Linked DNA regions of Macaca fascicularis. The protein of the gene in region 1 purifies or fractionates together with the protein of each later gene. This does not show direct contact. Links are inferred from orthologs where the notes say so. Each region holds a gene or a part of one and is shown in the gene's direction. Other genes may lie near its edges.

Region 1 (4,916 bases):
TGTTGGCCAGGCTGATCTTGAACTCCTGTCCTCAAGTGATCTGTCCATCTTGGCCTCCCAAAGTGCTGGGATTACAGGTGTGAGCCACTGCACTTGGCCTTGCCCTGCCTTTTAAAATTAATTATTGTCATCTGTTTTATTCCTCGGCCTTGTGTGGGAGAATAAAATCATCCTGTTTTGTTGTTTCTTTCTTCCATGAAACAGTCACTGAATATCGTTTATGTGCTGGGATCACTCCAGGCCTTGGCGAGTTAAATGGAAATGACATTGGCCCAGCTCAATGGCCAAGGGTGGGGTTTATGCAGATGAGTACATTATTATAAAGTGATGTGGTGGTGAGACCACTTGTACTAATTTAGAATTTTATATGTGTGTGTGTGTGTATTTTAAAACGTTGCTTAGAATGCCTCAGAAAATGTTTTTTATTAACAGGAAAGAACTGACTTCCTCTGGTGGGCCAACAAAGTTTGAAATCCATATAGTGGCTCAGTTTGATAATCATAATTCTCAGGTCTGGCGAGTGAGCTGGAATATAACAGGAACAGTGCTAGCATCTTCAGGAGATGATGGCTGTGTAAGATTGTGGAAAGGTAAGATTTCAGTGGAGGGGTAATTGTTGGTTTATATTTCTGCTCTGGAGTTTTTACTTAAAAATGTAAACTCTGAAATATTTTTTAAAAATGGTCTTTTACGGTTACTTTTAATGTCATATTAATTTATGTTATTTCAAACATCAGTTTACCTAGTTCATAGCAGTTAATCACTGAATTGTTTTTCAAGTTATATGGAACAGAGCAACTTTTAAAACTAAAGTAATTACAACAGAATATGCAGTATCTCCAGTAAAAAGATACCAGTTGTCATATATGTACCTTACTTGACTGCTCTACAGACTCAGGCTAGGACTATGGTCGCTCTTATTTTATCAAATAGATTACTTTAGACAATCAGTCCTTAATAGGAGAAAATCCAGTATCTTCCCTGCTTTGTGCAAACGTTAAGAGCCTTGGGGCCCTGATTGTAAGCTTTTTATAAGTGCCAGGCTGAGTGAGAAGGTCTGGACAGTTGACACTGACTGTGGTCTCTGTAGCGTGGTTCTGCACTGCTTTTTGGATGATTATCTGTTGGGCAGAGATTTCTGTGATTTGTGCACCACCATAATGAATGGTGTCCCATACTTAGCATTCAAAATTATAGCTGTCTTGGTTTATTTACTCTTTAGCAGTTACTGTTTCCCAAAGTGCAGTTTGGGTAAGCTTGAGGGCCTCCCATGTTCGATTTTGGGCTTTGGCAAAACCAGCTCAGACCTTCCTTTCTTCAGTGTAATTTGATTTCAAGGGCTTTGCTGTCCTTTTCTGCCTCTGGGCTTTAGTCAGGACCACCTTGCCATGCTCCCCAGCAGGCTGCCTAACTTGATTTTCTTGGGCTCATTGTCTTCAGAGACCAATTTTGCATTCAAACTAATAAGGCCATTTTGGATAAGCCACTCAATCTCCAAAGGTTTTTTACCTACATCCATTTCAGAAGACATTAGGTACCCATACAACTTATACTTGCATAATTAAGAAGACAATTTCATTACCTTACATATGTAAGTGAAATTCATTATAATGAAGACTTTAATATTATAATGGAGATTTTAATATTAATTTCATAATGTGATAATACGGTAGCTCAGAAAATTGTCTCTGCTATTATCTGTAACATGGGTGGTGAAAGCTTTATACTTTTAAAGTTATTGATACTTTGAAAACTTCTAAAAATTTGTTAAAACTAAGACAATATGTCTTCCATTTAAAAAGTGTCTTTAATGTTTATCCTGAAAGAAATGTAGCCCCTAGCCTCTCCCTCATTTCTTTAATTGTAGTTTAAGGACATGGGTACGGATTTGTGCCCTTAGGCATTGGTATTAATCACGTTAATGTATTTGATTATTTTCCTTTCAGCTAATTATATGGACAATTGGAAGTGTACTGGTATTTTGAAAGGTAATGGGAGCCCAGTCAATGGGAGTTCTCAGCAGGGAAACTCAAATCCTTCCCTAGGTTCAAATATTCCAAGTCTTCAGAATTCATTAAATGGATCTTCTGCTGGCAGGTAGGCTGTTCATGGGAAAACTGGAAATTCTCTTTGTTTTAAATCATTCTGGTAGCTCTACTTAAGGTGGATTATTTCCTGGATTATAAGATGGAGTGGAAATGTTCACATGTGATTATATTAGCATTTAAGAGTTCATTTCGTTACCTCTGTATTTGGCTTACTTGGTCATAACATTTGCAGGTAGGTTATGAGGTCATTACATTATATTCTGAAGCTTTAGTGGTCTATCGGTAGAAATGTTACAGGTTTAAGATTCAACTTCACTTCTGCAACAGTGAGAGGAAGGTTATCTGGTTTAATAGTGAGGGTTTTAGTCCAAATGAACATTAGTGTTTTTCACTGCTTGTAGTGTGGTCTTTGCATTAGGTCAAACTGCAATTTTAAATAAAATACATTTATTAAGGCTTTTTAGAAGAGAGTACATTAAATTATTTGGCTTTTGTGTTTAAAGTTTAATGGAAATAAGAGGAAATAATAAAAACTGAGATTGATTTTTAGAATAGTTAGCGTATGTTACATTCTTGTGTATCATAATAAGGAATATTTGATGTCATCTAAAGAGTCATCCTTTTGTTTTCATGTTCAAATTTTAAATATGTGAATTTGTAAGATAAAATTATTTTAATATGTCTTTGTGAATAATTTGGGATAGAATTCAGGAAACGTCAAAACACAGCCTAATGGACTGTCCTGTTGTTATCCTAAATAAAATAAGAAAATTGTATTTAAAATTTCAGCTATTTTTATATCGTTATGTTTTTATAAAGAAGTCCTGCTTTTGATTTCGAGGTTTTAAGTATGTGCATCAGAACGATTTCAGGTTACCGTGGAAGATACCAGATTATAAAGATTATTTCATGAAACAAATAAGTAGAGTTGATTTTTTAAGGCTGGTTCTTGGTCACTGCCTGTACTGCGTATTTTCTTTTGTAAATAGCTTCTGTTTTTTGATCTGTATTCTTATTGTGCCGATAACCATCTGTGTTAGATCTGTGATGCATTTCCCTTTTCCATTTGTATTATGTCCTTTAACAGAAAGCACAGCTGAGTACAAGCTAACTGGAGTAACTTTGCTGTTTTGCTGCTTGTTGCATGCACACAGGAATGGAAAGCGAGCTCCTTGTCCCCTTCCCCAGCGCCGTTTGACCTCTCCCAAGATACACCAGCAGCCTGCTTACTACTAAACGCAATCCTAAAGGCCTTTAAAAATACAGTGTATATTTTTTTGTACTAGTCAGTTTTTTGACACTATTTGAAACTTTTGAAATATAAATGGAGAGGCTTTCTGTTGAGACATTGTCACCAAAACAATTTTTTGAAATATTCCTGAAACTAATTTGGGTTTAAAGATTAAAAGGGTTGTTACCATTCTTATCTAAGTAGTTGGGAGGAGGGGAAATATCACTTTACTTCATTTGGAAAATATAGACATATTTCTTTTGCTTTCTTAAAACAGCTTAAAATGAACTTTTATAATTTTAATTTGAAGATTGAATAAATATTTTTTATAAAGATTGTTTTGAGTGATTTACTTTTTGTAGAATTGCTTTATACATGACATTCAGTACAACTCTGTCATTTCCTTGTAGTATTTAAAGAATATTAGTAAAGGAGTGAATTAGTAAAGTAGTAATAGTAAAATGAAGGAACTTGACTGTACAGTTGTAGCCAGGTTAAGCATTTGGTATTGTTTCATTTACAATTTGGAAGTAAGATGGAAACACTTTTTTATAAGTTTTTAATTCATAGTCACTAAAGAGATAAATGTTTCTTATATACATTTGTATATTTTTATGGTGTTATTTATTCCATGGCTTAGTTTCCTTCAAATCAAAATTTGGACACACACTATTAAGAGAAGCCATTAAAATTTTACTAAAATTGTGCATGTAAATTAATGTCAGCATTCCATATCTCAAGATTTTCTTAATTTAGTTGGCTGTTTAAATTAGTTCATATCCTGTAAAGCTCTGACCTTGATAACAAAGCTATAAATATTTAAGCTTGCTAAAATGTGTAAGTGTTACGGGTAAGTTACAAAATGGAAGAAGAGTAACAGTAGGGCACGGTCATTCTGTGAGTCCTTTCACTTCTCGAAATTTGGTAGCTATCCTAAGGCTTTTGCAGAAAAATAAGTGTTCAGTGTTTGTAGTTCTTCAAACGCATGTTGCAGTAGCCAGCCATACTGTGTGTGTTCTCAGTATCATGTATGCACTAAAAAATGTGTGCTTGCTGCTGTTGTGAGTGAACCATTGCTTAAGAGAAAAAGCTTATTAGATTTGTAAATGTACAGAATAGCATCAGATGTTTCTGAGAGATTAGAAAGTGTTTTGAATTTATAAAATTAATGTTTTTCTTTGTAACATTTATATTGATTTTTTTTGACATTTTAAGTTTAACAGATTGTATTCCTTTCAAGTTTCTATACTTGCTTAAGCAATCTTGATTTGAGTAAGGGTCTTGATTTGTGCTATTATGTTCTGTTAGTTTTGGCATGAATATACTAAAGCTTTTTTTTTTTTTTTTTTCTAGCATGTGTTTTCTCCTCTTTGGTTCTCTCTGTATTTACTACTTTTCTCTTTTTCTTGTGTTTTTTTTTTTTTTTTTTTTCCCTGTTTTTGTTTTGTTTGGTGTTTTGTTCCTGTCTTCATTGTTTCAGGTATTTCTTTCCCCCTCTGGATTCCCCACGGGCTGGATCGAGATGGTCCAGTTATGCCCAGCTCCTTCCTCCTCCTCCTCCTCCTCTGGTAGAGCACTCTTGCGATGCTGACACTGCCAACCTCCAGTATCCTCACCCTCGCAGACGATATCTCTCT
Region 2 (4,916 bases), on another chromosome or scaffold:
TGGCCTCCCAAAGTGTTGGGATTATAGGCGTGAGCCACCGCGCCTGGCCGTGCCCTGTTTTTTTTGACTCTGTTACCTAGGCTGGAGTGCAGTGGCAATCTCGGCCCACTGCAGCCTCTGCCTCCTGGGTTCAAGCCATTCTCCTGCCTCAGCCTCCCGAATAGCTGGGATTACAGGTGCGTGCCACCACGCCTGGCTAATTTTTGCATTTTTAGTAGAGAGGGTTTCATCATGTTGGCCAGGCCGGTCTTGAACTCCTGACCTCAAGTGATCTGCCCACTTCGGCCTCCCAAAGTGCTGGGATTATAGGCGTGAGCCACTGCACCTGGCCTGATTATTGGTTTTAAGGGACTCTGGTGGGTAATATTGGTGAGTTTGAGAAATCTATTGTCACTTCTAGGAAAAAACATGTCAAAAGTCCTGTAATTCCTTGATGGCAGGGGACCCTGTCTTATTTTTTATTTTTTATTTTTTTTTGAGATGGAGTCTCGCTCTGTCGCCCAGGTTGGAGTGCAATGACATGATCTTGGCTCACTGCAATCTCCGCCTCCCGAGTTCAAGAGATTCTCCTACCTCAGCCTCCCGAGTAGCTGGGATTTTTTTTTTTTTTTTTTTTTTTGAGACGGAGTCTCGCTCTGTCACCCAGGCTGGAGTGCAGTGGCCGGATCTCAGCTCACTGCAGCCTCCGCCTCCCGGGTTCACGCCATTCTCCGGCCTCAGCCTCCCGAGTAGCTGGGACTACAGGCGCCTGCCACCTCGCCCGGCTAGTTTTTTGTATTTCTTAATAGAGACGGGGTTTCACCATGTTAGCCAGGATGGTCTCGATCTCCTGACCTCGTGATCCGCCCGTCTCGGCCTCCCAAAGTGCTGGGATTACAGGCTTGAGCCACCGCGCCCGGCCGTATCTATTTTTTTGAGACAAGGTCTGACTAGTAGATTTCATCTGCAACAATTAATGTCAGTATGGGTTTATGGATATTAACTTTAGCCCATGGGTTGTTTTGTGGCGTTTTATTTTGTTGCCCAAGTTGTTCCAGCTTCAGAAGGTTACGAGCTCCTTCACAATGGCTCCCCTCTTTCTTTCAGCAAATTTCTACATTTATTTGAGTGTTTTCTTCTTTTCTAGCACTACAAGATGTTCCAGGCTCATCTTGTGTGTTATTTCATTTTTTATAGATTGGTTCGAGTGAGTAAAAACTACCGATCAGTCATAAGAGCATGTATGGAGGAAATGCACCAGGTTGCAAGTAAGGACTGTGTGTGTGTGTGTGTGTGTTTGTGTGTGTGTGTGTTGGTATTTTGAGTATTTATCTATGCATAAATACTGTGAGGTAAAGTTTGATTGATATTCCAGTCCAAAACTTACTTTTCCATCTTTCACAATCTTTACTTTTTTGGTAATCATTTAGAGTATTTTTTTTTTTTTTTTTTTTTTTTTTTGAGACCGAGTGTCACTCTGTCGCCCAGGTTGAAGTGCTGTGGCATGAACTCAGGTCACTGCAACCTCCACCTCCCAGGTTCAAGCGATTCTCCAGCCTCAGCCAGCCTCCTGAGTGGCTGGGACTACAGTTGCATACCACCAAGCCAAGCTAATTTCTGTATTTTTAGTAGAGGTGGGGTTTCACTATGTTGGTCAGGCTGGTCTTGAACTCCTGGTCTCAAGTGATCTGCCTGCCTTGGACTCCCAGAGTGCTGGGATTACAGGAGTCAGCCACTGTGCCTGGACTTTTTTTTTTTTTTTTCCTGAGACAAGGTTGCCCAGGCTGGAGTGCAAAGACACATTGTGGCTCATTGCAGCCGTGACCTCACCTCCTGGGCTCAAGTGATCTTCCTACCTCAGCCTTCCAAGTAGTTGGGATTGCAGGTGTGTACTGGCTATTAAAAAAAATTTTTGTCCCATCTTCCTCAGAGACATTTGTTCTGATAATTTTTAAATTTTTTGTAGAGACAGGGTCTCCCTAATTTTGCCAAGGCTGGTCTTGAACTCCTGGGCTCGAGCAGTCCTTTCACATCAGCCTCCCAAGTGTTGGGCTTACAGGTGTGAGCCACACATGAAGCCACTCTGACAAAGGTCAGAGACCTTTATGGTAACTTTGTTGCAGTTGAAAGTGCCATTTGGTAACTTCAGGGCCTTTGGTTTGAGAATTGAAGGGATATGAAGCATTAATAACAAAAATATCCATAATTAGAAGAGATTATAATTTCTTTTAATTTTTGTCATTAAAGGAAACAAAGGCTCAGGCCATAGACCCTGGAATATTCAGCTATGAAAATAAGCCTAAGAGTTCCATTGCTCACTTAAAATGTTTTGTGTTTCGTTAGTTGCTGCTAAAGATCCAGCCAGCGGCCGCCAGTTCAGCAGCCAGGTAAGGGGAGTCACCTTTGTTGTTTTAGCACCACTGTGTCCTGTGTCCTGGGCACCCACCTGGGGTGGCTTTGCAGTTCCTGTTACGGCAGAAGTCTCTTCAGGTAGATAGGCAGCTCCTTTGGGTGACAGTGATTGTCTTGCCCCTTTCAAGGTCTAGCTCACAAGGAAATGCTTGTTAAATACTTGAGTGAATGTTTGGTTCTTCTTCTTCTTTTTTTTTTTTTTTTTGAGACGGAATCTCGCTCTGTCACTCAGGCTCGAGTGCCCTAGGTTCAAGCAGTTCTCCTGCCTCAGCCTCCAGAATAGCTGGGTCCTACAGGTGCGTACCACCGAGCCCAGCTACTTTTTGTATTTTTAGTAGAGATGGGGTTTCACCATGTTGGCCAGGCTGGTCTCAAACTCTTGAACTCAAGTGATCCACCCGCCTCGACCTCCCAAAGTGGTGGCATTACAGGCGTGAGCCACCGTGCTGGCCCTGAATGTTCAGTTCTTATGGAACATGTATGTCCTGACCAAATTGTGTTGAGGGGTTGTCACCCGAAATGGAGAACTAATCTTGTGAGATCACTGTTCAGTCTCATAAACACTACTCACTTCTCGAACTCAATATTTTTTTTTTTCTTTGAAAGACAGGGTCTCTCTATGTTGTCAAAGCTGGTCTTGAACTCCTGGGCTCAAGTGATCCTCCTGCCTTGGCCTCCCAAAGTGCTGGGATTATAGGTGTGAGCTGCCACACCTAACCAAACTCAACATTTTTACTGAGTTGCAAGTGGCTCTACTTTACTTGGAGCTGGAAGATGACTTTTTCCTTAGTAGATGCTTCATATTAAATACTTTTCAAAGTCAGTAAGTGACTAGGCGGTAATTCAGTGTCTCTGAAGTACCCTTATAAACAAGTCATCGTGGTGTCTGTGGACCGAAGGATGGTGAGGAGAGGAAGCCTGCATATTCCTAAGGGCAAGGTCCAGGTCTGATTTATTTCGGGGTCTTATATTGGGCTTTCCCATTAATAGACTGTTTCCTAAACTTCAGTCCTTGGAATACCAACTTCACAATTCTTGCTCTGTCTACGTGTTTCGTGTCATCTACTGAATATTTTTGTAAATATCGTCTCTTCCTTTTACTCAAATGAAGTCCCTTGCTAAAGCATCAATTCATCGAGGTAGGCTGGGAGCAGTGGCTCACGCCTGTAATCCCAGCACTTTGGGAGGCTGAGGTGGGCGGATCTCTTGGGGTCAGGAGTTCGAGACCATACTGGCCAACATGGAAACCCCGTCTACTAAAAATACAATATTTAGCCAGGCATGGTGGTGTGCACCTGTAATCCCAGCTACTCGGGAGGCTGAGGCAGGAGAATTGCTTGAACCCTGGAGGCAGAGGTTGCAGTGAGCCGAAATCATACCAGTGCACTCCAGCTTGGCTGACAGAGTGAGACTCTGTCTCCAAAAAAAAAAAAAAAAAAAAAATAGCCAGGTGCGGTGGCTCATGCCTGTGATCCCAGCACTTTGGGAGGCCAAGTTGGGGGAGATCACCTGAGGTCAGGAGTTCAAGACCAGCCTGGCCAATGTGGTGAAACCCCGTCTTGACTAAAAATACAAAAAATTAGTTGGGCGTGGTGGCACACGCCTGTAATCCCAGCTACTGGGGAGGCTGAGGCAGGAGAATCACTTGAACCCAGGATGCGGAAGTTGCAGTGAGCCGAGATTACGCCACTGGACTGTAGCTTGGGCAAGAAGAGCCAAACTCCATCTCAAAAAAAATAAAAAAGTAATAATTGGTGACATGCAAGTTATATTTTTTTCTTTTTTTCTTTTCTTTTCTTTTTTTTTTTTTTGAGATGGAGTCTCCCTCTGTTGCCCAGGCTGGAGTGCAGTGGCACGATCTCAGCTCACTGCAAGCTCCGCCTCCTGGGTTCACGCCATTTTCCTGCCTCAGCCTCCCGGGTAGCTGGGACTATACGTGCCCACAACCACTCCCAGCTAATTTTTTGTATTTTTAGTAGAGACAGAGTTTCACTGTGTTAGGATGATCTCGATCTCCTGACCTTGTGATCCACCCGTCTCGGCCTCCCAAAGTGCTGGGATTACAGGTGTGAGCCACCGCGCTTGGCCATATTTTTTTCTTTTTTTAAATTTTGAGACAGGGTCTCACTCTTGCCCAGGCAGGAACGCAGCGGCACGATTATGGCTCACTGCAGACTCAACTTCCTGGGCTTAAGTGATCCTCCCACCTCAGCCTCCTGAGTAGCTGAGACTACAGGGATGTATCACCACACTTGGCCAATTTTTGTATTTTTTGTTGAGACAGAATCTCGCAATGTTGCTCAAGCTGGTCTCGAACTCCTAGACTCAAACATTCCACCTGCCTTGACCTCCCAAAGTGCTTGGATTACAGGCATGAGCCACTGCACCTGGCCAAGTTATTTTTGTAATGCACGGTAAAATAAAATCACAACCACTAAAACAAAATAATGTTAGCCTCCATCCCGCCACCTAACATCCTCGTGCTGACTCCCCTCTGGGAAATCCTCCTGTAGGATTGCAGTAGC
Region 3 (4,916 bases), on another chromosome or scaffold:
TTTCTTACTGCTGACTATCATATTGTGGTTAGCTTCTGCTGAGATTTTTATTATTTGAAAACTGACTAAAAACATTTAGTTCAGTGTGTAGCTATCTAAGACTGACGTCTGAGAATTTAAATGGCAGAAGGAATGGGTTATTTACCCTTTGCATTGAAAAATGGTAGCCGTAAAATACCTTGTTCTTGAAAAATGTATTCACATAATTTGTATAGTAAAAAGATGGTTAATTCTCATTTTAATCTTTTCTACATGGAAAACTTTTCTTAACTCATTGTACAGTTCAGGCATCTCAAGATGAAAGTTTCGGTAATACTACACCAAGAAACCAGGTTATCCCTCGAACTCCTAGCTCATTTCGACAGCCTTGTAAGACTTTTTTGCTTTTAAAGCATTTAATAATAATGATAATTATAATAGCAACTAACATTTATTGTAACATGATAAGTATAGTATTTGGTTACAATATCAATAAACACTAATAATAATGATTGCAGTTATTATTTGTTTGAACTCTTGCCATGTACAAGGTACTGTACTTTCCATAAACACACAGTAACTATGACATAGGTATCGTTAGCTCTATTTTACCGAAACTGAACGCGAGACTTAGAGAAGTTAACTAATATAGGCAGTAAGTATGTAAATAGGCTGGATGCAGTGGCCCATGCCTATAATCTCAACACTTTGGGAGGCCAAGGTAGGCGGATCACTTAAGGCCAGGAGTTCAAGACTAGCTTGGCCAACATGTGAAACCCTGTCTCTACTAAAAATACAAAAATTAGCTGGCGTGGTGGCGCATGCCCATAATCCTAGCTACTCAGGAGGCTGAGGCAGGAGAATTGCTTGAACCCAGGAGGCAGAGGTTGCACTGAGCTGAGATTGTGCCACTGTACTCCAGCTGGGGTGACAGAACAAGACTAGTATGTAAATAGTGGAACTGGGATTCAAACAATGATCTGTTTACTCCAAAGTTTATGCCCACTGTACTACACTGCCTTGGTATGCCTTATAAAATTAAAATATGAAGAATCCATTGACTGATTAGTGGCTTTAACTGCTCAGTTAGGCTATAATGAAAGCATCTGCAATTGCAGTAAAATTTTTCCTGTTAGGCTCAGTAGTACTTACAGCTCAAATTTAGAAAAATAATTTAAATCCTTGTATCATGGAAATGTTAGCATTTAAAGTATTTATTTGGTTAGAGTACAGTAAAAATTTATTCTTCATTGTTTGTTTGCTTTGCTTTGATAATGAATGCTCACGCACTTTAGGTTCTTTCTACCAACCTTTTGTTTATAGTTACCCCAACAAGCCGAAGCTTACTAAGGCAGCCAGATATTTCCTGCATTCTTGGAACAGGAGGGAGGTCGCCCCGACTTACACAGTCTTCAGGGTTCTTCGGAAATCTCTCCATGGTATGTAGAAAAATAGGACTAAGAACTTTTGGGTCGAGTGTGGTGGCTCACACCTGTAATCTCAGCACCCCCTGAACTCCTGACCTCAAGTGATTCTCCCGCCTTGGCTTCCCAGAGGTCAGGAGTTTGAGACCAGCCTGGCTAGCATGATGAAACCCTGTCTCTACTAAAAACAAAAAAATTAGCTAGGAGTGGTGGCTTACGCCTGTAATCCCAGCTACTCGGGAGGCTGAGGTGTGAGAATTGCTTGAATCCAGGAGGCAGAGGTTGCAGTGACCTGTGATTGCAAAAGAAAAAAAAAAAAGAGAGAGAGAAAAGAAGTTCTCCCTTTTTATAAAAGTATAACATTTGATGTAAAAGCCTTTTAATGAATATTGAGTCAGAATCATCACAAAAGTAACTTTAGATTATATGGATTGAAATAATTAATTAGACATTAAAAAAACTGAAAACCTTATGCATCTGATATCACAGATGGAAACTGTGACACCAGCAACCTTTAAATGCAGATAAGATGTTTTAATCTGTCAGTTTGCTGACCAGAAGAAATACATGCTGTGGTTGGTTGCTGATGGCTATAAAATCTGATCCCTGTTTTGAAGCATACAAGAGTAGGAATCAGAGGGTAATAGATGCAGAGTATCATAAGGAAGAGATAAAATGTATTAAAGAGGATACAAGAGAAAATTGGAAAAGGTAGATGAGATACTCTTTAGGAATCACTATGGAACAGTATTGAAAATAGCAAAATAAATGTTATGTAAGCTGTGATTCAGAATGACTTCACCTAAGTATTAAAAATACACTATAGGCTGGGCGTGGTGGCTCATGCCTGTAATCCCAGCACTTTGGGAGGCCAAGGCGGGTGGATCACGACGTCAGGAGATCCAGACCATCCTGGCGAACACAGTGAAACCCCGTCTCTACTAAAAATACAAAAAAATTAGCCGGGCGTGGTGGCAGGCGACTGTAGTCCCAGCTTCTCGGGAGGCTGAGGCAGGAGAATGGAGTGAACCCAGGAGGCGGTGGAGCTTGCAGTGAGCGGAGATCGCACCACTGCACTCAAGCCTGGGCGATAGACAGAGCAAGACTCTGTCTCAAAAAATAAATAAATAAATAAATACACTATAGTAGCCAGGCATGGTAGCTCACATCTGTAATCCCAGCATTTTGGGAGGCTGAGGCAGATGGATCACATGAGGCTGGGAGTTTGAGACCAGCCTGGCCAGCATGGTGAAACCCTGTCCCTACTAAAAATACAAAAATTAGCCAGGCATGGTAGCACGTGCCTGTAGTCCCAGCTACTTGGGAGGCTGAAGTGGGAGGATGGCTTAAGCCTGAGAGGCAAAGGTTGCATTGAGCTGTGATCGTGCCACTGCACTCCAGCCTGGGCAACAGATCCAGACCTTATCTCAAGAAAAAAAAAAACCCACATACATACATACAATTTTTAGAAATCTTACTTGCTTTTAAAGTATCCACTCAGTGACAATAACTCCATCACTTTTCTCTATTTTTACTTTTTTGTTTTTTTTTTAAGGTTACCAATCTGGATGACAGTAACTGGGCAGCTGCATTTTCATCACAGCGTTCTGGACTCTTCACAAACACAGAGCCTCACAGTGTAACAGAAGATGTAACTATCAGTGCTGTTATGTTACGTGAGGATGATCCTGGAGAAGCTGGTAAAATGGCATTGAGCTTTGTAACAAGTAGCTTTTCACTAAGATCAAGGAAATCGTCTCTTCCTGTTTCTGAACATCATTATGTTTTTCTCTTTCTTTTTTTTTTTTCTTTTTTTTTGAGACGGAGTCTTGCTCAGTCGCCCAGGCTGGAGTGCGGTGGCGCGATCTCGCCTCGCTGCAAGCTCCGCCTCCCAGGTTCACGCCATTCTCCTGCCTCAGCCTCCCCAGCCTCCTGAGTAGCTGGGACTACAGGCGTCCGCCACCACACCCAGCTAATTTTTTTTTGTATTTTTAGTAGAGACGGAGTTTCACAGTGTTAGCCAGGATGGTCTCGATCTCCTGACCTCGTGATCCGCCCGTCTCGGCCTCCCAAAGTGCTGGGATTACAGGCGTGAGCCACCGTGCCCGTCTGTTTTTCTCTTTCTTTTCTTTCTGTCTTTTTTTCTTGAGACAGTAGCTTAAACAACAAATTTTTGTGTGTGTTTTTTGAGACAAGAATCTCACTCTGTTGCCGGGTGTGGTGGCTCATGCCTGTAATCCTATCACTTTGGGAGGCTGAGGTGGGCGGATCACGAGGTCAGGAGTTCAAGACCAGCCTGGCCAACATGGTGAAACCCCGTCTCCACTAAAAATACAAAAATTAGTTGGGTATCGTGGCGCACGCCTGTAATCCCAGCTACTGGAGAGGCTGAGGCAGGAGAATCACTTGAACCGGGAGGCGGAGGTCGCAGTGAACTGAGATTGTACCATTGCACTCCAAGCTGGGCTACAGAACGAGACTCCATCTAAAAAAAAAAAAAAAAACTCACTGTGTCACCCAGGCTACCTGCAGTGGCATAAGTATGGCTCCCTGCAGCCTTAACTTCCCAGGCTTAAGCAATTCTGCAGCCTCAGCCTCCTAAGTAGTTGGGACTGCAGGCATCTACCACCATGCCCAGCTAATTTTTTTTTTTTTTTTTTTTGAGACAGAGTCTCACTGTGTCACCCAGGCTGGAGTGCAGTAATGGGATCTTGGTTCACTGCAACCTCCGCCTCCCAGGTTTAAGTGATTTAAGTGATTCTCCTGCCTCAGTCTCCTGAGTAGCTGGGATTATAGGCACATGCTACCACATCCGGCTATTTTTTGTATTTTTAGTAGAAATGGAGTTTCGCCATGTTGGCCAGACTGGTCTCAAACCCCTGACCATGGGTGATCCACCTCAGTCTCCTGCCTCAGTCTCCCGAGTAGCTGAGATTACAGGTGCCCACCACCACACCTGGCTAATTTTTGTATTTTTAGTAGAGAGAGGTTTCACCATGTTGGCCAGGCTGATCTCGAACTCTGACCTCGAGTGATCCGCCCTCCTCAGCCTCCCAAAGTGCTGGGATTACAGGCATAAGCCACTGTGCCCAACCTAATTTTTTATTTCTTTGTAGAGACAGGGTCTCACTATGTTGCCCAGGCAGCTCTCAAACTCCTGGACACAAGTGATCCTACCACCTCAGCCTCTCAAAGTGCTGGGATTATAGGCAACAACAGAAATTTATTTCTCACAATTCTGGAGGCTAGATGTCTGAGGTAAAGGTCTTGGCAGGATTGGTTTTCTCTGAAGCCTCTTCTTTGGCTTACAGATGACTGTCTTCCTCCTGTGTCTTCACGTGGTCTGCTGTCTATATTTTTCATTAAGCTAATTAGTTGTGGTTATGGCTACGGTGTTTGATACAGTATCACTAGAAGGTTGAGAACCTCACCTTAGTTCTCAATCAGAGCAACATCTTGCCATTTTATCTTTTAATGTAAATAGCAGCCAGTTAGACAAGTCTCATATTGTAA

Evidence for each region.
Region 2: the proteins of SEH1L (region 1) and NUP85 purify together in Homo sapiens (affinity purification with western blotting; 4 studies listed by BioGRID and IntAct, with this or other methods). This does not show direct contact. The link is inferred for Macaca fascicularis from reciprocal best matches to the Homo sapiens genes SEH1L and NUP85.
Region 3: the proteins of SEH1L (region 1) and NUP107 purify together in Homo sapiens (affinity purification with mass spectrometry; 5 studies listed by BioGRID and IntAct, with this or other methods). This does not show direct contact. The link is inferred for Macaca fascicularis from reciprocal best matches to the Homo sapiens genes SEH1L and NUP107.

Annotation. Positions count from the first base shown.
Region 1 is NC_088392.1:81,035,745-81,040,660, forward strand, and holds part of SEH1L (nucleoporin SEH1), read left to right. Parts: intron 1-432; coding exon 433-590; intron 591-1,946; coding exon 1,947-2,097; intron 2,098-3,135; coding exon of another isoform or gene 3,136-3,148; exon of another isoform or gene 3,149-4,759; coding exon 4,760-4,916. UniProt on the Homo sapiens protein: Component of the Nup107-160 subcomplex of the nuclear pore complex (NPC). The Nup107-160 subcomplex is required for the assembly of a functional NPC.
Region 2 is NC_088390.1:81,599,489-81,604,404, forward strand, and holds part of NUP85 (nuclear pore complex protein Nup85), read left to right. Parts: intron 1-1,176; coding exon 1,177-1,247; intron 1,248-2,322; coding exon 2,323-2,366; intron 2,367-4,916. UniProt on the Homo sapiens protein: Essential component of the nuclear pore complex (NPC) that seems to be required for NPC assembly and maintenance. As part of the NPC Nup107-160 subcomplex plays a role in RNA export and in tethering NUP96/Nup98 and NUP153 to the nucleus.
Region 3 is NC_088385.1:75,451,594-75,456,509, forward strand, and holds part of NUP107 (nuclear pore complex protein Nup107), read left to right. Parts: intron 1-282; coding exon 283-369; intron 370-1,274; coding exon of another isoform or gene 1,275-1,302; coding exon 1,303-1,418; intron 1,419-2,958; coding exon 2,959-3,103; intron 3,104-4,916. UniProt on the Homo sapiens protein: Plays a role in the nuclear pore complex (NPC) assembly and/or maintenance. Required for the assembly of peripheral proteins into the NPC. May anchor NUP62 to the NPC. Involved in nephrogenesis.